Rattus norvegicus: one gene and its partners. The protein of the gene in region 4 purifies or fractionates together with the protein of the main gene of each other region. This does not show direct contact. Links are inferred from orthologs where the notes say so. Each region holds a gene or a part of one and is shown on either strand. Other genes may lie near its edges.

Region 1 (3,475 bases), on a different chromosome or scaffold from region 4:
AAGTGCTCTACCACTGAGCTAAATCCCCAACCTCCTCCTGTTGTGTTTTCTAACGTAGCCCTTTACCCACTGTGAACTCTCCCAATGTAACGTCTCATGTTCGCTCTGCAAATAAAGAGCTCGTGGGTACCTAAGCCGCACACTGGACATCTGTACTCGTATGCTTCAGCAGGAATTGTGTGACCCAGGAAACATCTGTACACAGATGTAGGCCATGCGGCATACACTTCTAGTTCTCAGCTCGCAACCCTGTGGCCTCTTCTAGAGGAGCAAGTATGCAGGAACAAGGGCAGAAGGCCCACTCTTCTGAGATCCACGTCCTTCTTAGAATACAAATTCTGGGACCCAGCGGCAGGAAATGAGGCTTCCCACGCCCCTAGGCCCTAGCTTTGAGGTTAAAAAGTGTGTGGGGGGATGTGGCAGGTCGGTAGAGATGCCTATGGAGGCCCCAGTCTGTCCAGCAGGTGGCGGTCAGAGGGGCTCAGTGGAGACTCACTGACTGCAATATATGGCTGTAATTGCGTTTATTAGCTTGACAAGGCAGATGTGAATATTTTCTGTGACAAAATGGTGACAAAATATATCAGCCACATATCGGCCACATATAAGCCGGCACACATTAGATGCCACAAGGAAATAAGAACTAACGATTTTAGAAACAGTAGGCATGTTCTTCCCTGAAGCTACTGGTGTGGGAAAGGCAGGAGATGGGGACAGGAGGCGTGCTGTATCCTTGCGTTGCTCAGCCTCCACCATGCATGTGGCCTGTCCTGACAGTGCAGCTCCTGACTACCTTTATCTTGCACCCTGAAGAGCATACAGGGCACTGGCAGTCCATGTATTTCCAGGTCCTGAGGTGCACAGGTTGGTTTGGGGGCCATGCTTTCCCAGCCCTTGGGCCTTACGCAACCCCACAGCAGATGAGGCACACGCTGGCACGTGGTCTGTCCAGGGCAGTGGTGCAGGCCAGGCCCTGGTGGGCTAGCTGTCATACCAGTCGAGGAAGAGCAAGGAAAAGGAACACATCACGAGGAAGAAGAGGATCCACACTCGGAAGCCTGCGTTGTTTTTGATGGCCTGGCAGAGGGAGCACAGGTGTTAGCATCGCCCTGGACTGTTTCAGAAGCCTAGGTGCCCCCACACACCGCTTGGTGGATCCTATGCTCTCATTAGATAGGAACAAAAGCCACTGTGTATGGACACCTGACAGGGAACAAAGACCTTGGATTTAATTTTTAAAATTACATTTATCTCGATGCTGTGTAGGTGGGAATGCATGCTACGGTGTATGTAGGGGTAGGGTCAGAGGAAAATAGAGTTAATTCTCTGCTTCTGTCATGTGGATTTCAGAAATTAAAATCAGGTTGTCCTGCCTGGCAGCAAACACATTTATCCACGGAGCCATTTTGCTTGCTCTGTCCCCAACTTCTTCTTGTTGGGCAAAGCCTAACATCCCAGGACTCAATTCCCCAGGGCTTATTCCCATTTGAACCAGGGCTTGGGTTTTCCAGTGATGCCTATCTATGGTGACACAGGGACAAGCAGGAGGCCTGGGATTTAGAGATGGTCAGCTCATTAGGCTCGGTGCCTTCCATAGTTTCTGGGCTCCTGCCCTCTGTTGGCTCATCCTTGCTTTGAGGTTATCCTGACCCTTCCTGGATGCTCTCCCACCCACTGTCCTCGCAGGGATGGGAGCTACTTTCTCCTGAGAATCGGCTGGAGGCTGGCCAGCAGGTCTTGTGAACACTCTTATGCTCTTAGGCTGCCTCTGACTATAAACCCATGACTACAGCTACAAGATGGGCCCTGAACACTACACAGTACTCTTGGACAGCTTCACTAGTGACATTCAGGCTGCTGGGATGCAGGGCTGGGCCACATCAGACTGGAAAGCACCAGATACCCACCTCTCGTATGTCTTCGTTGCCTTCCTTAATATTTTCAGTTGCCCCCACAACTAACTGGTGAATGCTGTCGATCTCGGTTTCCTGTGGAAGGAAAGAATATCAGGGAAGGAATGACCCTCAGTCATTCTTTCCTCCAACAAGAAAACATTCTTCTGCAATTCGTGCTGCCATGTTCCAAGGTCCAAAGGCTGTACCTACACTGTCTGGGAATCATCTCCAGAGAGGTGAGCCTCACCCAACAAACAGGAATTTACGGCTCAGAGATGTCTACTAGTTTACAGAGGGTCACATACTGTCTGAGTGGCAGGACTAGGATAAGGCTCTAGTGTCAGATTGCACAGCTCACACTATATGCTATCTCTCCAGTGTTACTCATTAAGTGACAAGGACAAATATGAACTGCTGATTCTGGACTGGCCACTCCCACTAAGGGCTCTCCTCCAGCATTCTGTTTATTCTTTATAAGGTCCAGCAGCCAGCTTCAAGATGTTACAGGCTTTGAAACACATTAGCCATCCAATGTTTTAACACATTGCTAAATGGGTAAGAGTTAGAACAACACATGAACTGCTGGCTGCAAATGCCCTGTGTAGATGCTGAGAGAACTTGGAAGTAGGGGTGCTGGCCTCTGACCATGAGACAATGCTATTGGAGACCTTAGCATACCCGCCATGAGGTGCTGTTTTGTCGGAAGGGAAGGAGGTATGCTCTAATGTGGGCTTTGGGGACCCCTTCCTCAGTTACCCAGTCCCCAGCAGAGACATCACTGGAGTGCACATGGCCCATGGGCCAGGGATGTGGGTAGTAGCACACTGACTGGGGAGGGGACACAGAACAGGAGCTGAGGAGTTTGCCATAAACAACCCGAGGTACTGACATAAACACAGTTCAAGGGGCCCTTGGTGGACTCCAGAGGGACACTGACCTCATAAAGCACTGCACCTCTTCTAGGGCACATCTCTTCTTTCTCAGTGGGGCTGTTTGCCTAGACCTCTGGGACAGTAGAAGTCTGAATACTGGACCCTTTCCTGTATGGCCAGCCAGGGTGTGTTACTGGAGTACCATGTAGAGGCCATATTCATGGTGGTGTATGTGGTGCTACTAAAGCAGGGCACTACCTGGCTTGGTCAGAGTCCCACTGAAAGGCCAGGTAGGTCAGTGGTACTACTTGTTGGCTCTGAGAGTGAGGCATGGGGCACCAGCCACTTCATATAATGGGGCTTAGGAGAAGTACTGACGACAGCACACAGGGTGGAGTATCCAGAATGTGGCCTGGTCACCCTGAAAGCTGTATGCTTCAGCCAAGGCGACTCTCCTCAGAGCAAGCCGCTATGCCGGAGCTTGCTTTGATGGCTTCCTCTGTCATGCAGCTGACATGGCCATCAGGCCAAGTGTCTGCACAAAGCCTGTCTCCAGGGCTCATGGCCTTCACACGTAGCTTCAGTAACTCTTTAAGATACTTATGAAGAGGGCTGGAGAGATGGCTCAGTTAAGAGCACTGAGGTCCTGAGTTCAATTCCCAGCAACCACACGATGGCTCACAACCATCTGACATGGGATCCGATGCC
Region 2 (4,057 bases), about 71 Mb from region 4:
CCACCGCCGATGATGACCACATCCGACTGTTCTGGGGGCAGGTGGCTGGTGTCATACACCATTTCACATTGCTTTCCCGGCAGGATAGACTCAATCTTCTTCTTAAAGTCAGACACCTTTGTATCCCAGTCTGCAGGACATAGTTACAGTTAGATGGACTTAGGCTCTTCTCTACGTGCTTTGGGGGTTGGAGGATGGGCACAGGGAAAGGTGGGCTGAAATAGACGTTTGGGTTGGCACATCTCCAACGTCATTCTTTCTCATAAGATCAACTCATTCGCAGGGGTATTATTCCAACTTTGCTGTTTGGTCTTTGTCCCACCTGTCATGCATCTCCTCTAACAACTTCCTAAAATTACACTTTCTATTTCCCCGTCAAGCTAGGGTGACTCACATTACTTAGTTTTTTTTTTTCTTTTTTTTTTTTTCAGAGCTGGGGACCGAACCCAGGGCCTTGCACTTGCTAGGCAAGGGCTTTACCACTGAGCTAAACCCCCAACCCCACATTACTTAGTTTTACAGACCTTCTCTCCCTCCCGAGCCCCATTCTCAGATATTCAACTGCACATTTATCTCCACTCAGGTATACCAGGCCCAGAGAACACGAGTCCCCCTTCTAAAGCCGGGCACTTCTGTATGATCTTTATCCTTATCCATTACCACCAGCAACTTTCCATTTATTGTCCACTGGGAAGAGCCTCCTTGAGAACCATACACTTGGACTGGCTCTTTAACCTCTAGCAGGCAAGCCCACCCCTCTTCCCAGCTAACTCGATGCCCTGCCAGCACGAGGCAGGGGGTCGAACCTTGAAGGTCACGTATATGGAGGTTTTGGGCTCCCCAGAACCGCTAAAATATTTTCTCTGCTGCCCTCAGCTTTACCCAGAGTAAAGCCTCCTGTGCGTGTGCGTAGCCCCCGGGTAGGGAGGCCCGGGCACAGGCCAAGACGCAGCACTTTGCGAAACATGGCCTTACAGAGCCCGGCTTCTTCCAGCTTGAGGTGCCTGCCGCTCAGGCCGACTGTGTCTTTCTAGTCATCGGTCCGCGCCACAGGGAATAGACGCGAATGCGCCGATTAGCCGGCAGTGCTCTTTAGGCTCCACCCCTTCACGCTATAGGGAGCTAGCGCCTTGGGAGTCTCGCCCATGTTTGCTATTAGTTAGTCTTGCGCCTACGTCATCCCGCGCGCCCTAGCGGGGGAAGGGGCGGGACCCCTGCGGCCCGTAGCGGAAGTGCGGCTGAACCGGTTTCCGGGGGCTGCTGGTGTGACGTGTCCCGCGCTTGGCGCAGCAGGAAGCGGCGGCGGACGCGGCCCGAGTTCCCGGCGCCGGTCTCGGCCCCAAGTCTTCTCCCGCTTCCATCATGCTTGACTTCTTCACCATCTTCTCGAAGGGCGGGCTTGTGCTCTGGTGTTTCCAGGGCGTGAGCGACTCGTGCACCGGGCCCGTGAACGCGTTGATTCGTTCTGTACTGCTGCAGGTACCACTCCCGCGGGGCAGAACTCCGGGCTCTGGTCCCTCAGACCCAGACCGTGGTCCCCCTTCCAGTAATCATTCCGCGTCTTCTGTCCTGACCCCCTCAAACTGGTCGCTTACCGACCACCCAGGATCGCTTCCTTTCCTGGATCACTGTATCCCTAAACTTTGCGACGCCCCCCACACCTTCCGTTTCCGGGGCTCTAGCCCTGTTCTGGCGTCCTAATAGACTTGAGCTCTCTCTCCACTCATCCGGGCAGCTTGGTTTTCTATTGTTTTGAGGTTGGGTGAGACTGTGGATGTGAGAACAGCTTTCAGGTGAACTAAATGGTTCACAGCTGTTAGAAGATCTGATTGTTTATATATGATTGTTTACTTTCTGACTCCCACGTGTCGTGTCTCCTCTCCCAGCTTTATCCCTTGTCCCTACTTGGTGTCTGTCTGTCTGTCTGTCTGTCTGTCTGTCTGTCTCCTTTTCTGGCTGGATGCTAGAGAAATGTCTCAGTATTCCCTTGTTGAGCCCGGGATAATATCTGGTTATTTCCCAAACATAGTTCAAAGTCTGGTTTTGCTGTGGATAGCCTGAATGCTGTAACACTCTTTTTCCAGGAACGGGGAGGTAACAACTCTTTCACTCATGAGGCTCTCACACTCAAGTATAAACTGGACAACCAGTTTGAACTGGTGTTTGTGGTAAGTGGGGTTATGTTAGAAAGACAAGTTATGTTCTCAACAGAATGTCCATTGATGAATCCAGTTAATTATGGGTATTGTGTGTGTGATAAAGTAATAGAAATATTAGGAATGTGGAGGGGAGAAAGAAAGCAACTTCTGGGTAAGGTAGAAAGCTTGGCTGCCTCTCAGGACAGGAAACCTATCTCAGGAGGCCTGGGTTGAGTTGGCTTCCTTCCATGCTGGGCTGGCTTGTAAGGAGATCTTTTGGCCCTGTGTCCTTCCATAAACAGGTTGGCTTTCAGAAGATCCTCACACTGACCTATGTAGACAAATTGATAGATGATGTGCACCGGCTGTTCCGGGATAAGTACCGCACAGAGATCCAACAACAGAGTGCTTTAAGTTTATTGAATGGCACTTTTGATTTCCAAAATGACTTCCTGCGGCTCCTTCGGTGAGAGGCTTTCCCTCTTCATAAAGGGAAATTTTTCATGATCTGAGAGTGCCCTGCCTGGGGGTTGGGGATTCAGCTCAGTGGTAGAGCGCTTGCCTAGCAAGCACAAAGCCCTGGGTTCGGTCCCCAGCTCTGAAAAAAAGAAAAAGAAAAAAGGGAAAAAAAAAAGAGTGCCCTGCCTGTAGGTGGCTTATCAATATTAACATGGGTTCAAACCAGTCACATTTTTGTAACTTGTTTCTGATTGTCCTTTTGATATGTGGGACCTTTTTCTGAAGTCAAGAGTCCTTCCTCTTACATGGATAGAAGGACCAACAGTCTCTTTTCTCTTCAGTGAAGCAGAGGAGAGCAGTAAGATCCGTGCTCCCACTACCATGAAGAAATTTGAAGATTCTGAAAAAGCTAAGAAACCTGTGAGATCCATGATTGAAACACGGGGGGAAAAGACCAAGGAAAAAGCAAAAAACAACAAAAAAAAGGGGTCCAAAAAGGAAGGTGTGTTTGAGTTTTCTGAACATGCTAGGGTATAGTGCTATAAAGGTCTGTAGTAGTCCTTTGGTCATTGCTGGCCTCCCTTAACTTAATGCTCACCCCCCATCATCCCCTTCTGGCATTGTAATCTCCAAGGTGTTTGGTACAAGTTTGTTCAAGTTAGCTGGGGAAAGGGGTAGGCTTAGCAGCTAGAGGTTAGAGCCAATTCAAGTGTATGACTCTTCCCAGTAGGCAATGCCATATAACAGGAAGGTTATTGGTGGTTGCAAGGATTTGGAAGAACTGTAGGTATTATATAGGTGCTTGGGATTTGTGTGTTTCTCCTTCAGTGAGGTTTCTCTTAACAGGTTCTGATGGCCCTTTGGCTACCAGCAAAACAGCCCCTGCAGAAAAGTCAGGTCTCCCAGTGGGACCTGAGAATGGGGAACTTTCCAAAGAGGAGCTGATACGTAGGAAGAGAGAGGAGTTCATTCAGAAGCATGGGAAGGGCCTGGACAAATCCAGGTGAGCAGCATTAACCAATCTCTGATGGTGGAATTCTTTTCTCATGTTCTTTGCTACTTTACTACTGTAACTTTTTCTTATGTAATCCTTTGCAGTAAATCTACAAAGTCAGATATTCCAAAGGAGAAAGGCAAAAAAGCACCCCGGGTGTGGGAACTAGGTGGCTGTGCTAACAAGGAAGTCTTGGATTACAGTACTCCCACCACCAATGGAACTCCAGAGGCAGCCCTTTCTGAAGATATCAACTTGGTAAGATGTATAAAGGTCAGAGTGAAGGTCACCATTAGCCAGAAATTGGGAAGGAAACAGAGGATATATCTGGATTTGGGAAACTATATTTGGAACTATATTTGGAGTTTCTCCAAGGCTCAAATATTAATGTTGACAAGAGTATATCCTGGGCTATTTCCCTCAGCCATTGGTTTTCCTGATCACTTTGTCTGTCTGTTTTCCAGAT
Region 3 (4,192 bases), on a different chromosome or scaffold from region 4:
TGCACACAGGGATGCTACCACTCCTGCTTGTCCAAGGCCAGGATGGAAGATCCCTCTTGTTCTACAGAATGAGGTGTGCCTGCTCTGTATCCCCCACCCTCACTCCCGAAAAAGCACAGCTGCACGGCAAAGGCATTCACCTGCACTGAACTAACTTTTTTTATACATTGAAAGTTAAAACATCAATTTTTCTAGTCACTTTTTAAATATAAAAAAAATGCACTTGCTACTGTAAAAAAAAATCCCTCTTTGGTCACAAGCTCATCTAATCAGTTTTAAAATAAAATAGTTTTAAAATAAATTAAGATGTATTTATTAAGTGTATCTGTACACATGTGAAGGTCAGGTGATAACTTGCCAGACTCCTTCCCCCCGGTGGGTTTCTGGGGATTGAACTAGAATTGACAGGTTTGGCCTCAAGCATCTTTACCTGCTGAACCAACTCACGGGGCTCCAGTTAGTTATACTCTTACTATCTTTATTATTTTGATACTGAAAATTCACGGACTTGGCTAGTAGAGTCTTCAAGAGAGCTGTGTCGTTTTACCCATTCCCATTCATCACCACTGTTAGCGTTCCTTCTAGGCTCCGCCCACAGTTACCTGGCAACAGCCAGGTGTGCCTGGCTTACTATAAACGGGGCTGTTCGCCCCTTCTCTCCTTCATAGTCTTTGCTCCTTCTCTCCCTGGCCCCTTTCTCCCCTTCTCTCTCCCTCCCTCCCTCTCTCCAAGCGTCCCTGCCCGGCCTCTTCTCTCTCCCTCCTCCCTTCCCAACTCCACTTCCCATGCCCTAAATTAACTATTCCAAACTATATCCGTGGTATGGCTGGTGCCTCACGGGGAAGAGATGCCTAAGGATGGGCCCGCTGAGGCACCCTTCCCACCTCACCAGCGCCTCTACCAAAACATATCCTGGCCTCTTTTTTTTTTTTTTAAATAAAACAGAACAACCACTGCCTACATTCTAATACAAGGCATTCTAAGCTGGTATCTCTAGGACTTTTTTTTTTTTAAAAGCAAGGAAGGAAGCCCTTTCCGCCCATTTTTTTGCGACACGGTCTCACGTATCCCAAGCCTGCTTTGAAAACCATATTGAAGTTCTGATCCAGCACCCGAATGAATGATGTGATTAACTGGAGTGCAAACACACATTTATTCCCAAGTCCTCACGCAGGCGAAGCAAGCAAGGCCACCCATTGAACTACTTTTCCTCCTCCAGGAAACACTGGGAAAAGGCCGAAAGCCCTCCCCTTCCTGTCCCGGGGCGGAACTTAAGAACCCGGCGCCTGGGCCGGAACGCAGTGCTGCCACACCAGCCTTTTCCGGCTGTAACCGGAAGTTGCTCTAATAGAGGTGGCTCCTTGTCAGGTGATCAAGATCCGGGTAGGAGGGTTCGGAGGTTCAATCTTCCTGACTGACGCGTCTCTAAGACTGGCTTGTCCACTGTGGGACAGGGGAACGGACTGGTGGCGTCGCTGGCGCTCGCTCTACGGGGACAGGTACGTGACGAGCTAGGACGGCGGGCCCGGGAGGCGTGGGACCCCCTTCCGGGGCTCAGGGACAGAGGCACCTGAAACCAAGGATCAGGAGACAGCTAGTCTGGCTCTGTCCAGGTCCCAGAAGAAAGATCAGACTGGCATTCCTGGGTACAGATTGGGCAAACTAGGGCCCAAGAAAAGGGAAGGGCGCGCTCAAGCTCCTTGCCAGGCAGGGGCTCGCCCTGACTCCCTCTTAGCCTCGGGGGCGGGACTGTCTCACGTGGGTAGTTAGTGATTTGGTTGAGTGGAGAGATGAGGAGCTTGGTGAACAGATTTGGGATGAAGCGTAGGAGACCTGGACTTGAGTTCGCTGCTAATTGTGCGTTCTAGGCCAAGTCCTTTACCTCACTGAACCTAGTTTCCACACTTGTCCAACCGGGCACTGCTTCTCAAAGCATGATCCTTAACAGCGCCTGCTCTGAAATCCTCTGGGATGCGGGCTCTTCAGCCCTGGACTTTCCCGACAGCTTGTTTCGAATCTGGGTTTGGATCCTAGGAAACCTTCTTTTGAATGTTCTCCTCGGGAGTCCTATACCTACTGGTGTTTCATCTGAAATGCTGTCCCGCTGTGAATGCGGTATTCGATTCGAGGCAGCTGGAGCCCGTTGGAATCTTTGAGACTTCTAGCTTAGGAAAGAACGCCGGAGGAGAATAACTATCTTTAAAAGCTGGCGCGGGGTGGGGGGATTGGGTGGATGGGTTATATCAAAGAGGGCTCCCGCTTAATCTTTGCAGCTGAAAGAGATACAGCTAGGATTAAATAGGTGGGTTCTAGGGGAAGACAAATGTGTACATAGTAATAAGAATTTAACGGAAGACTTATCAGAGGTGACCACTGATAGGATTGACTGTCTCCTTGTGAAAGAAAGTATACAGGAGGTGGTCCTTTCCAATTCGAAAGTCTTTTATTCTGAGTATTTATTGTGAATCTATCTTTCCATGGATAACTCTCTCTTCGGAATGTTTGTGACACTTCTTTTGTGGTCTGAGACAGGATATCGAAGATCTCAGGCTGTCCACAAGCTCCTCTTGCAATTCAAATTGGCCTTGAACTTCTGATCCTCCTGCTTCAGTCTGGAGTGCTAGCATCTCTCGTTACTTAGTACCATTATGCCTGTTGAATGTGACATTTCTTTGTTTGCCTTTCTTGAGCTCTCCTCCTTAGTCTCTATCTCTTGTCAGTGAGGCCAGCACACTTGATCTTATGTAATCTTTTCCTGGTTGTCACATTTGCCATCCTTTTCAAGGACTTTGGAACGACTCATCTGATAAAAAGTATCTGAAATGTATGTCGTATTAATAAACCGGGATCCATTGCATTGGTTAGTAATTTTTTGTTTCATGTTTAATTTTTTTTTTTTTTACTTTATTTTAAGTCAGGCTCTCACTCTGACACTCAGCCCAGGCTGAGGACAATTTAGGTCAGTCTCTGTTTGCCTTGTCTGTGTCTGTGTCTCTGTTTCTGTCCCTGTCTCTCTCTCTCTCTCTCCCTCTTACTCCCTCCATCTCTCTCTCCCTTTTCCAGAGTATCAATATGTAGCCCAGGGTGACCTTAAACTCATGGTCTTCCTGCCTTAGCCTCCCAAATGTTGGGATTGCCCGTGTTCCCCAAGGCTCTGCTTGCCAGTGAACTCCGATTACAGAATGGATGTCTGACTGCGGTTGTTTGGGTCAGTCTTCTCCATGGTTTATAAACTGAACTTTAATTCTTTCTCTAGCAGTGTGTGTACAGATGTGAGAGAATGTCTGCAGTTTGTAAGCTAGCTATACATCCAGCATATATGACCAATTCTTTTATGGCCCTGACTTGCACACCTAGACTTTTCTAATCTAACATTAGATTTCCTTACTTTGCACTTTACCAAACACGAAGTAGATCTCTTCCATTTCCTGATAGAGTACTTAAGAATGCTTATGTTGTCTGGAGAAGCAAAGGTTCCATATTATGACCCGATTCTGCTGACACTTCCTCCACAAAACAAAAGGTTGGGGCTGATCCAAAAGTTCTTGCCTGTTTTCCTGTTGTTTATGTTTCTCAAGATTGAAAAACAAAAGTTGTGAAACGGTCATTCAGTTGTTACCTAACATTCAAGATAGTATGGCCTTAGACTCAGGTGTCCTCAGTGGTGAGGAGAATACTCTTAATTTGTTGGATTTTAAAACTTATTAATTTGAGAATTTCTTTTAAAGGGACACTTGATATAAGTGAAAATGGGATTTGGTGGTAAAAATAAGTTCAGGAAAAGCTACTGACCTTTATCCTTTCTTAGTGTTTTAATGCAAGTACCACATTAAAGGCACGGAGAGTTCTCACAATAAAAATTTGGGGCTTTATAATAAGCTGGCATAATAAAATGTTTTGCTTGCTTGGTGTTACCAAATTTATTTGGTATAGAACCTCTTTTTTTATATCCTTAGCCCAGGGCCTTCCTTCGTAGTATCCAGGGTGGCTTCAGACTCCTCTCCTGCTCCAGCTTCCTAAGTACTGGATTGCTGAGGTGGCTCCCACACAGCGTTACTTTTATGTTTTGTTGTTGGTTTGTTTGTTTGTTTGTTTGTTTTCTTTGTCTTTTTGTGTGTTTTCCAGACAGAGTTTCTCTATGCAACAGCCCTGGCTGTCCCGGAACCCTCTTTGTAGACTAGGCTGGCCTCAA
Region 4 (2,239 bases):
TCTTCCTCATACAAAACCAAAGAAGCTGGCTGGGGCTAGAGACGGCTCAGTGGTTACAGCACTGGCTTCTCTTCCAGAGGACCAGGTTCAAGTCCTAGCACCCACATGTCAACTCACAACTATCCCAGTGGATCCAAAGCCCTTTTCTAATCTTCTCAGGCACCAGGTATGCCTGAGGATCAGCACTACACACACACACACACACACACACACACACACACACACACACACACACTCTTTAAAATAAGATGCTAAGAGCCATACCACTCATCAGGTATTAGGATTTTTAAAAATCACTGCTGAAAAATGCTCCAGGCTCCTGAGAAAGGCAGGCGTGAAAGACCTATGTTACATGGCCTGGCCGCAGAGCCAACCCAAGTGTGAGCGCTGGGATAAGGGGGAACAGTGGTACGGCCTGTTTGGAAGGAGAGGCCCCACAATCCCCCAGAACCAACAGTACATGGCCTCACAAACTAACATTTGGTAAAGTAAGAGAATTTATGATCTTTAAAAAGCACTGTGTCATAAAAAAAGGCTGTAATATCAACACAGCCTGCAGCTGCGAGTCCTTGGGACAACCTGGTAAAAGACCAGGAAAGTAATAGAAACAGATTTTCAGATTAAACCCCTTAATTAATGTCTAACTACAGCTCCTCCCCCATGCTCAGCAATAACGACTGCAGGTGAAGAACTAGTTCCCAGCAGCAGTCCTCCGAGGATCAGCTGCACGCCAGAAGCACCTTGCTTATTGCAGGCTACTAAGAAGGCCGGTGTGTTCTTCAGAGCCATGCTGTCGATGAGGACCTGGTACAGAAACTCAGCCACATCTTTCACCTCCCGCTGGAACGTTGCACTGTCCACCACGAACACCACAGCCCTGCAGGGACGGTTAGAGGGAAGGACACATGAGTACACAACAGCAAGCAGGAGCCACACAGGATCCCTCCGTGGGACCTGACTTCAGATAACAGCAACGACACCCATCATGTACCAGAGTAACCTCAGACAACAGGTCCTAGGGGCCAGGTGGGGAGAATGTGCGATGGCTAACAGGGCCAGGGCAGCTGGACCAGACACCGCACACGAAACTTCTAACTCAAAGGCAGTCTAATGCAGGCTGCGGCCAGAAAATAATTTTAAAGAAATTAAAACACCTGGTCTCCACTGGCTACAACTATGGGGCATAATTGGACACTAACCCTTGGAATAGGAGCCCTAAACATAAGATTCTATAAGGATTTTCATCAAACCCTCATGGAGGGTGCTAACAAGTGGAAATAGCTGTGGGGTCGGCCTTCCATGTCCTACAGTGACAAAGACCTCCAACCTTATCAATGACACCTGTTCTCTTGGAGGAGGGGATCTGGATCAAAACATACATGAAAATATGCAATTATAAGAGACATTAATCAGTACTCCCAAAACTGGAGTTTAGAGCAATCTAAGCACATGTTTATGGGCTGGACATGTAGCTCAGTTAGCAGACTGCTTGCATAGTAAACACACCCTTTATCCCATCCCAGCCAGCATAAAAACAAGCAAAGTAATCCTGTAATCCGGCACTGAGGAGGTAGAAGCAGGAGATCAAACACTCAAGTTCATTTTTGGCTGAACAGTGAGTTCAAGGTCAGGCTGAGCTACATCAAATTCTACCTCCAAAAAACAAAAAAGTCATAATATATGTTTAAAATTATTTTAGAGGATAATACTAGAAGCAAATAAAAAGAAACAGGTAGACTTTTAAAGGGTATTTTTAAAAGAACACATTGTAAAATAGTAAATATATTAGCAACGCAGTGGAAACTAAGCAGAGGTTCTCTCAGCTGAAAAGGACACAGCAAACTCGGCCGCAGATCTGAGGGGCTAACGCACCACTCGAGAGAGAATCTGTTAGCTCAACTATCGAAGAGCTAGGGCGGAGAGAAGGGCCCATGCTGTGACAAGCCAGACAGCAGGCAGTGCCATTTTTTGCAATCACAGGGTTTGATGAATCAGGCCCAATGTCTATTCTAATCTTTCACTTGGGGATCTTATGCCTGCAGAGTGTCCATTTGCACCTTGTAGCGGTGAGGCACGGAGACCAGATGTCCCAGTTTCTTTGCAATTCCTTTCCACCCACATTAGACTACCTGTGAGTGGCATGCTTTGCACAGAGTGGTTGGTCCGGCTGCCCCCCAAGGCCTCTTAGCATGTAACAGATAACGCCCTTCTGTGTAGGGTGGTGAACTTGAATTCTGAA
Region 5 (4,208 bases), on a different chromosome or scaffold from region 4:
AAGCGCAGGGAATATAATTACTTTTCACATAGAGTAGTTGTGCTTTTTTGTGTATATAAAGTGATGTCTTTATACGTCAAAAGGAAGGGCCACCCTTCGTAACGACGCTGAACATAATTATCTATGCGCGTAAAAGCTTACAAATTAATTAATGTAGCCATCTGGGAGAAGCTGCACCAGCAAGGCCTTCTGGGAAGCCATATGCAAATTAGACAGATACTACGCGGCTCCGCCCCTCAGTGGTAGCCCAGCCCGATCGGCGGGGAATCCGTGCTCTTGGTGCGATGGGCAAACTGAATGCTGGTAAACTATCCCCATGGAGCTTCGCCCCTAATGAACAGTGCTAGAAAGCTCTGCCTCCCAGGGCAAGGCTGGTAATGATTCCTCAACGGGCTATGCTAATGACTCCCCACCGGACTCCGCCCCTAAGTGAGGCTGTGGCCGTAGTGAAGCCCTATGTAAATAGTAAATAGGCCTTGCTACATGCGTCTCCGCCCCCTCTGATCCTCCGCTAATAGAAAACCCGGTGTAGATAAGACTAGCAACGTCGCCCCGCCCACTAGTTGCAAATGCTTAAGCTTGTTTCTGAGACCACGCCCCATAGCTCGACCGCCGCGAACCTGGTTCCCTACACAAACGAAACGGATTGTACGCGACACTGCCTCAGTGCCTAAGCTCAATGCTTATATATTTGGTTGTGAGCCTAACCTTTAACGGCTGAGCCATCTCTCCAGCCCCTAAGCTCAATGCTTAAGATACAGCTTTGGTCTGAAGAGATGGCTAAGAGCACTGACTGCCCTTCCAGAGGTCTTGAGTTCATTTTCCAGCATCCATTATGGTGGCTCACAACCATCTGTAATGGGATCTGATGCCCTCTTCTGGTCTGAACGCAGCTACAGTGTACTCACATATATAAAAGATTTTTTTTTATTTTAGCTCAGTGCAAATGAGTCGTGACACACGACTCTGCCATAGACCATGCCACAGTGTGTGGGAGTGAATTTTTGCAAATGAACCGGGCTCCTCTCTATTCCGCTCCGTGTAGCCTCCGCAAATTGCAAGCCCAAAGCAAATGAGACCGACCAAAGCTTTAAGGAGGACTAGGAAAATAAACTGAACTCCGTGTTACTCCGGCCTTTTAGCACTGGGGCGACGGGTTTGAAGTTTGAGAGCAGTAACCAGGCTCCGCCCACTTGTGGTGCCAGCCTTCCGGCTCTGAAGCCCGGCCTCCTCGGGCGGCCGTGGCGATCCCAGCGTGCCCCGCGCACGGGTGGCGCTCTGGCCCGGCGCTCTCGCCGGCGTCGCGGGCCGGACGGACGCGAGCACAGGCGCAGGCGGCGGCGGCCGGGGGCGGCGGGGGGGATCCGGCGGCCGGGACACGGCGGGGGGGCAGCCGGCGGCCGCCGGGGTGACGCGGGGCGGTGATGTCGGAGCACGCGGCAGCCCCAGGGCCCGGGCCCAACGGCGGCGGGGGTGGCGGCGCGGCGCCCGTGCGCGGCCCGCGCGGCCCCAATCTCAACCCCAACCCGCTCATCAACGTGCGCGACCGGCTCTTCCACGCGCTCTTCTTCAAGATGGCCGTCACCTACTCACGCCTCTTCCCACCTGCTTTCCGCCGCCTCTTTGAGTTCTTCGTTCTGCTCAAGGTGACCTCTGACCCCTGACCTCTGACCCCAGCTGTCATCCACCTGCCCACCCCCTCAGCTTTACCACTTGGCCCCTGACTTGGCCTGAATACCCTGATGCCAATCTTCTCACAGATGCATCCTCTGATCCCCACTTCCTCAGCTCTCAGGCCCCGCCTCTTGCCCTTTGGCCTCTGACTCTGCCACTTGGGAACCTAGGCCCCAAATTTTTCCACCCAAGACCAGAGCCCAGTGTCTTCTTGAGGTAGTATCTTGGACTCGAGGTCCCCCCCTCCCACCTGTCACTCCCATTCTGTCCTGCACCTCCACTGAGAACAGTGTGGTCAGTTCCATCCCATCCTGAAGTTCCACTGTGGACAACCCCCTGTGCTGGAGGCCCTGTCCCGCCTGTCATTTCCATCCTAACACACCCTGAAGCTCACCTGGGGATAGTCCCCAGCCCTCCCAGTGTCCCTGCTCTTCTCTGTCACTTCTTGCCAGATCTTTTGTGGCTTTGGTGGGGTCACCTCGCTAGGGTTAGCCACAAAGTCACAGCCACATTGGCCAGGGACCTCTGTAGCCAGTACTTGCTCTGCTGTGTCTTCCTGGTGTGCTCCTGAGAGATACTGAGTTCTCAATATAACAAAGGCTACTCCAGAGGGATAGCCACCAGGCTCTGTCCCTAGGCTTCTCTCTGAGAGGAGCTGCCTGGGCCATCTGGTGTTGGGGGCATGGCATGGTGGTGGGTGTGCTGATGTTGGAGGGCATTGCCTTCTCCGGTGGCTTTGGTGAATGTGGGACTGGCTCCTAGCACTGTTTCAAAGCTGTCAGTTTGGGGGATTCATGGAAGTACTTCCAGCATGAGATTGAAACAGATGTGGGGTTGAGCCCCTCAGGCTCCAGTCCACAGTCTGCAGTCTGCCACTGCCCCTTCTTTCTCCCTGCCTTCCACACCCTGAGTCCCCAGTGGTGGCCCTCAGCTTGGGGTACCCGATACCTTGTCAGAGACAGGGTCTGTTGGATGACAGTTGACCCCCCACTTTTTCTTTTTTTTTTTTTTTGGTTCTTTTTTTCGGAGCTGGGGACCGAACCCAGGGCCTTGCGCTTCCTAGGTAAGCGCTCTACCACTGAGCTAAATCCTCAGCCCCGACCCCACACTTTTTTCTTAATCGGGACAGACAAGCCATACAGCAGCTGGTTTCTGGGGCTGCCGAGGTTTCAGGGAGCCCTTTTGCTGTGTTTCCTGCCTACCCAGCTTCCGCCCAACCTTCATAGAGGGGACGTGCCTGGCAGCCAAGGCTGCTAGGCCTGTACCGCCCTGTACCCTGTCCCCACCCCAGCCTGGGTGTCAGCTCTGACAGGCCCAGGGAAGAGCTTTTGGACTTGGTGTCCTCTCTGCTGGCTTCACAGTCTCAAAGACTGAAACTGGGCAGACACAGAATGTGGCCCCAAGCACCTGGGCTAAGCAGCTGACAAGTGGGCGACCGTGGGACACACATGGGATAGACTGTGGCACAGCATGGTGCCTTAGACCTTAGGATGTGGGCCAGCGTCAAAGGGCAAGGAGGTGAATGACACCAGCTCTAAGTGGATCTGAGCCCCAGAAGGTGCTAAGTGGAACCCTTGGGTGGGTTAAGATCTGGAGATCGTGGCTGAGCCTGGTAGTCTATACCCAGTGCAGGTTTCCTATTGGTCAGATGGACTGACAGCTCCAGATGCCAGACTGGGGTGACAATGAGACACTCCCTGCTTACAGGGTAGGAGGTACCCTGAGAACCCTAGATGGTGGCATTGAGGGTCTGCAGGAGGTGATGGCATGCAGTCCCCACCAGGCTGATGTGACCAGGTTCAGTGCCTGTGTATTTGGCACCAAGGGGCAGATGGGGGCGGAGTGCCCAAGGGCCTGAGTGGGATGCCAGGCTCTAGCTCAGTGACAGGCGAGGACTTGTGCACTGGCCAAAGTGGCCACGGTGGGAAGAGAAAGCCCAGGCTATGTCCACCCTTACAGTGGCTACCTCCCTTTGAGTCTAGATGCCCAGTAGGTGGGACAGAGCTGGTGACACAGTTCCTGGCTCTTGGTTGGACTGGCAAGCGTGGCTGCTGGGGTCTCAGCCTGGGCTGGTCAGCCGTCATTTCACCCAATACAAAAATCCATTTCCTGCCCAGGGGAGCCTCACAGTTGACAGGTGTGGGTGCCAGTGTCAAGTGTGGCTGGCTCCACACTGCAGTCTTAGTTTCAGTCCCAGGGCCTTCCCTGTCTGCTCTGCATCCCCTCGGGTCACTGCTCGGAGGGCTAGGTGCTCTGTGGGTGCAGCTCTGTCACCAGATTACAGAGGAGAGGCCTGAGGAGCAGGCACATGGGTATGGAGCCTGGTCTTTGTGCTTGCTCCTGGTCTTAGGTCACGTGTGTCCCCTACAGCGCTGCCTAACAGCAGGCAGGGAGGGCCCTACTGTGCTCGCTGTGGCTGAGCACCTTGGGATTGTGGACTGGGAGTCCAGCCTCGTCCCTGAAGAGCATAGCGACTCCCATGCACACACTGGGTGTGCAGGGCTGCTAAGGACCGTCAGGGCCCTGAAGATTCC

What was found.
Region 1: the proteins of Srprb (region 4) and Stx18 purify together in Homo sapiens (affinity purification with mass spectrometry; 3 studies listed by BioGRID and IntAct, counting the BioPlex papers as one, with this or other methods). This does not show direct contact. The link is inferred for Rattus norvegicus from reciprocal best matches to the Homo sapiens genes SRPRB and STX18.
Region 2: the proteins of Srprb (region 4) and Srpra purify together in Homo sapiens (affinity purification with mass spectrometry; 6 studies listed by BioGRID and IntAct, counting the BioPlex papers as one, with this or other methods). This does not show direct contact. The link is inferred for Rattus norvegicus from reciprocal best matches to the Homo sapiens genes SRPRB and SRPRA.
Region 3: the proteins of Srprb (region 4) and Rnf185 purify together in Homo sapiens (affinity purification with mass spectrometry; 3 studies listed by BioGRID and IntAct, with this or other methods). This does not show direct contact. The link is inferred for Rattus norvegicus from reciprocal best matches to the Homo sapiens genes SRPRB and RNF185.
Region 5: the proteins of Srprb (region 4) and Tmem259 purify together in Homo sapiens (affinity purification with mass spectrometry; 3 studies listed by BioGRID and IntAct, counting the BioPlex papers as one, with this or other methods). This does not show direct contact. The link is inferred for Rattus norvegicus from reciprocal best matches to the Homo sapiens genes SRPRB and TMEM259.

The regions. Positions count from the first base shown.
Region 1 is NC_086032.1:76,883,260-76,886,734, forward strand, and holds the end of Stx18 (syntaxin-18), read right to left. Parts: intron 1,989-3,475; coding exon 1,908-1,988; intron 1,078-1,907; coding exon 982-1,077; 3' UTR 508-981; downstream 1-507. UniProt on the Homo sapiens protein: Syntaxin that may be involved in targeting and fusion of Golgi-derived retrograde transport vesicles with the ER.
Region 2 is NC_086026.1:41,816,957-41,821,013, forward strand, and holds the start of Srpra (signal recognition particle receptor subunit alpha), read left to right. Parts: upstream 1-1,242; 5' UTR 1,243-1,362; coding exon 1,363-1,479; intron 1,480-2,084; coding exon 2,085-2,168; intron 2,169-2,440; coding exon 2,441-2,604; intron 2,605-2,938; coding exon 2,939-3,099; intron 3,100-3,443; coding exon 3,444-3,600; intron 3,601-3,695; coding exon 3,696-3,849; intron 3,850-4,055; coding exon 4,056-4,057. Other genes in the region: Foxred1 (FAD-dependent oxidoreductase domain-containing protein 1), read right to left, coding at 1-130, 883-967. UniProt on the Homo sapiens protein: Component of the signal recognition particle (SRP) complex receptor (SR). Ensures, in conjunction with the SRP complex, the correct targeting of the nascent secretory proteins to the endoplasmic reticulum membrane system.
Region 3 is NC_086032.1:82,550,667-82,554,858, reverse strand, and holds the start of Rnf185 (E3 ubiquitin-protein ligase RNF185), read left to right. Parts: upstream 1-1,392; 5' UTR 1,393-1,499; exon of another isoform or gene 1,500-1,570; intron 1,571-1,882; exon of another isoform or gene 1,883-2,175; intron 2,176-4,192. UniProt on the Homo sapiens protein: E3 ubiquitin-protein ligase that regulates selective mitochondrial autophagy by mediating 'Lys-63'-linked polyubiquitination of BNIP1.
Region 4 is NC_086026.1:112,649,291-112,651,529, forward strand, and holds part of Srprb (signal recognition particle receptor subunit beta), read right to left. Parts: intron 878-2,239; coding exon 741-877; intron 1-740. UniProt on the Homo sapiens protein: Component of the signal recognition particle (SRP) complex receptor (SR). Ensures, in conjunction with the SRP complex, the correct targeting of the nascent secretory proteins to the endoplasmic reticulum membrane system.
Region 5 is NC_086025.1:10,373,508-10,377,715, forward strand, and holds the start of Tmem259 (membralin), read left to right. Parts: upstream 1-1,396; 5' UTR 1,397-1,424; coding exon 1,425-1,646; intron 1,647-4,208. UniProt on the Homo sapiens protein: May have a role in the ERAD pathway required for clearance of misfolded proteins in the endoplasmic reticulum (ER). Promotes survival of motor neurons, probably by protecting against ER stress.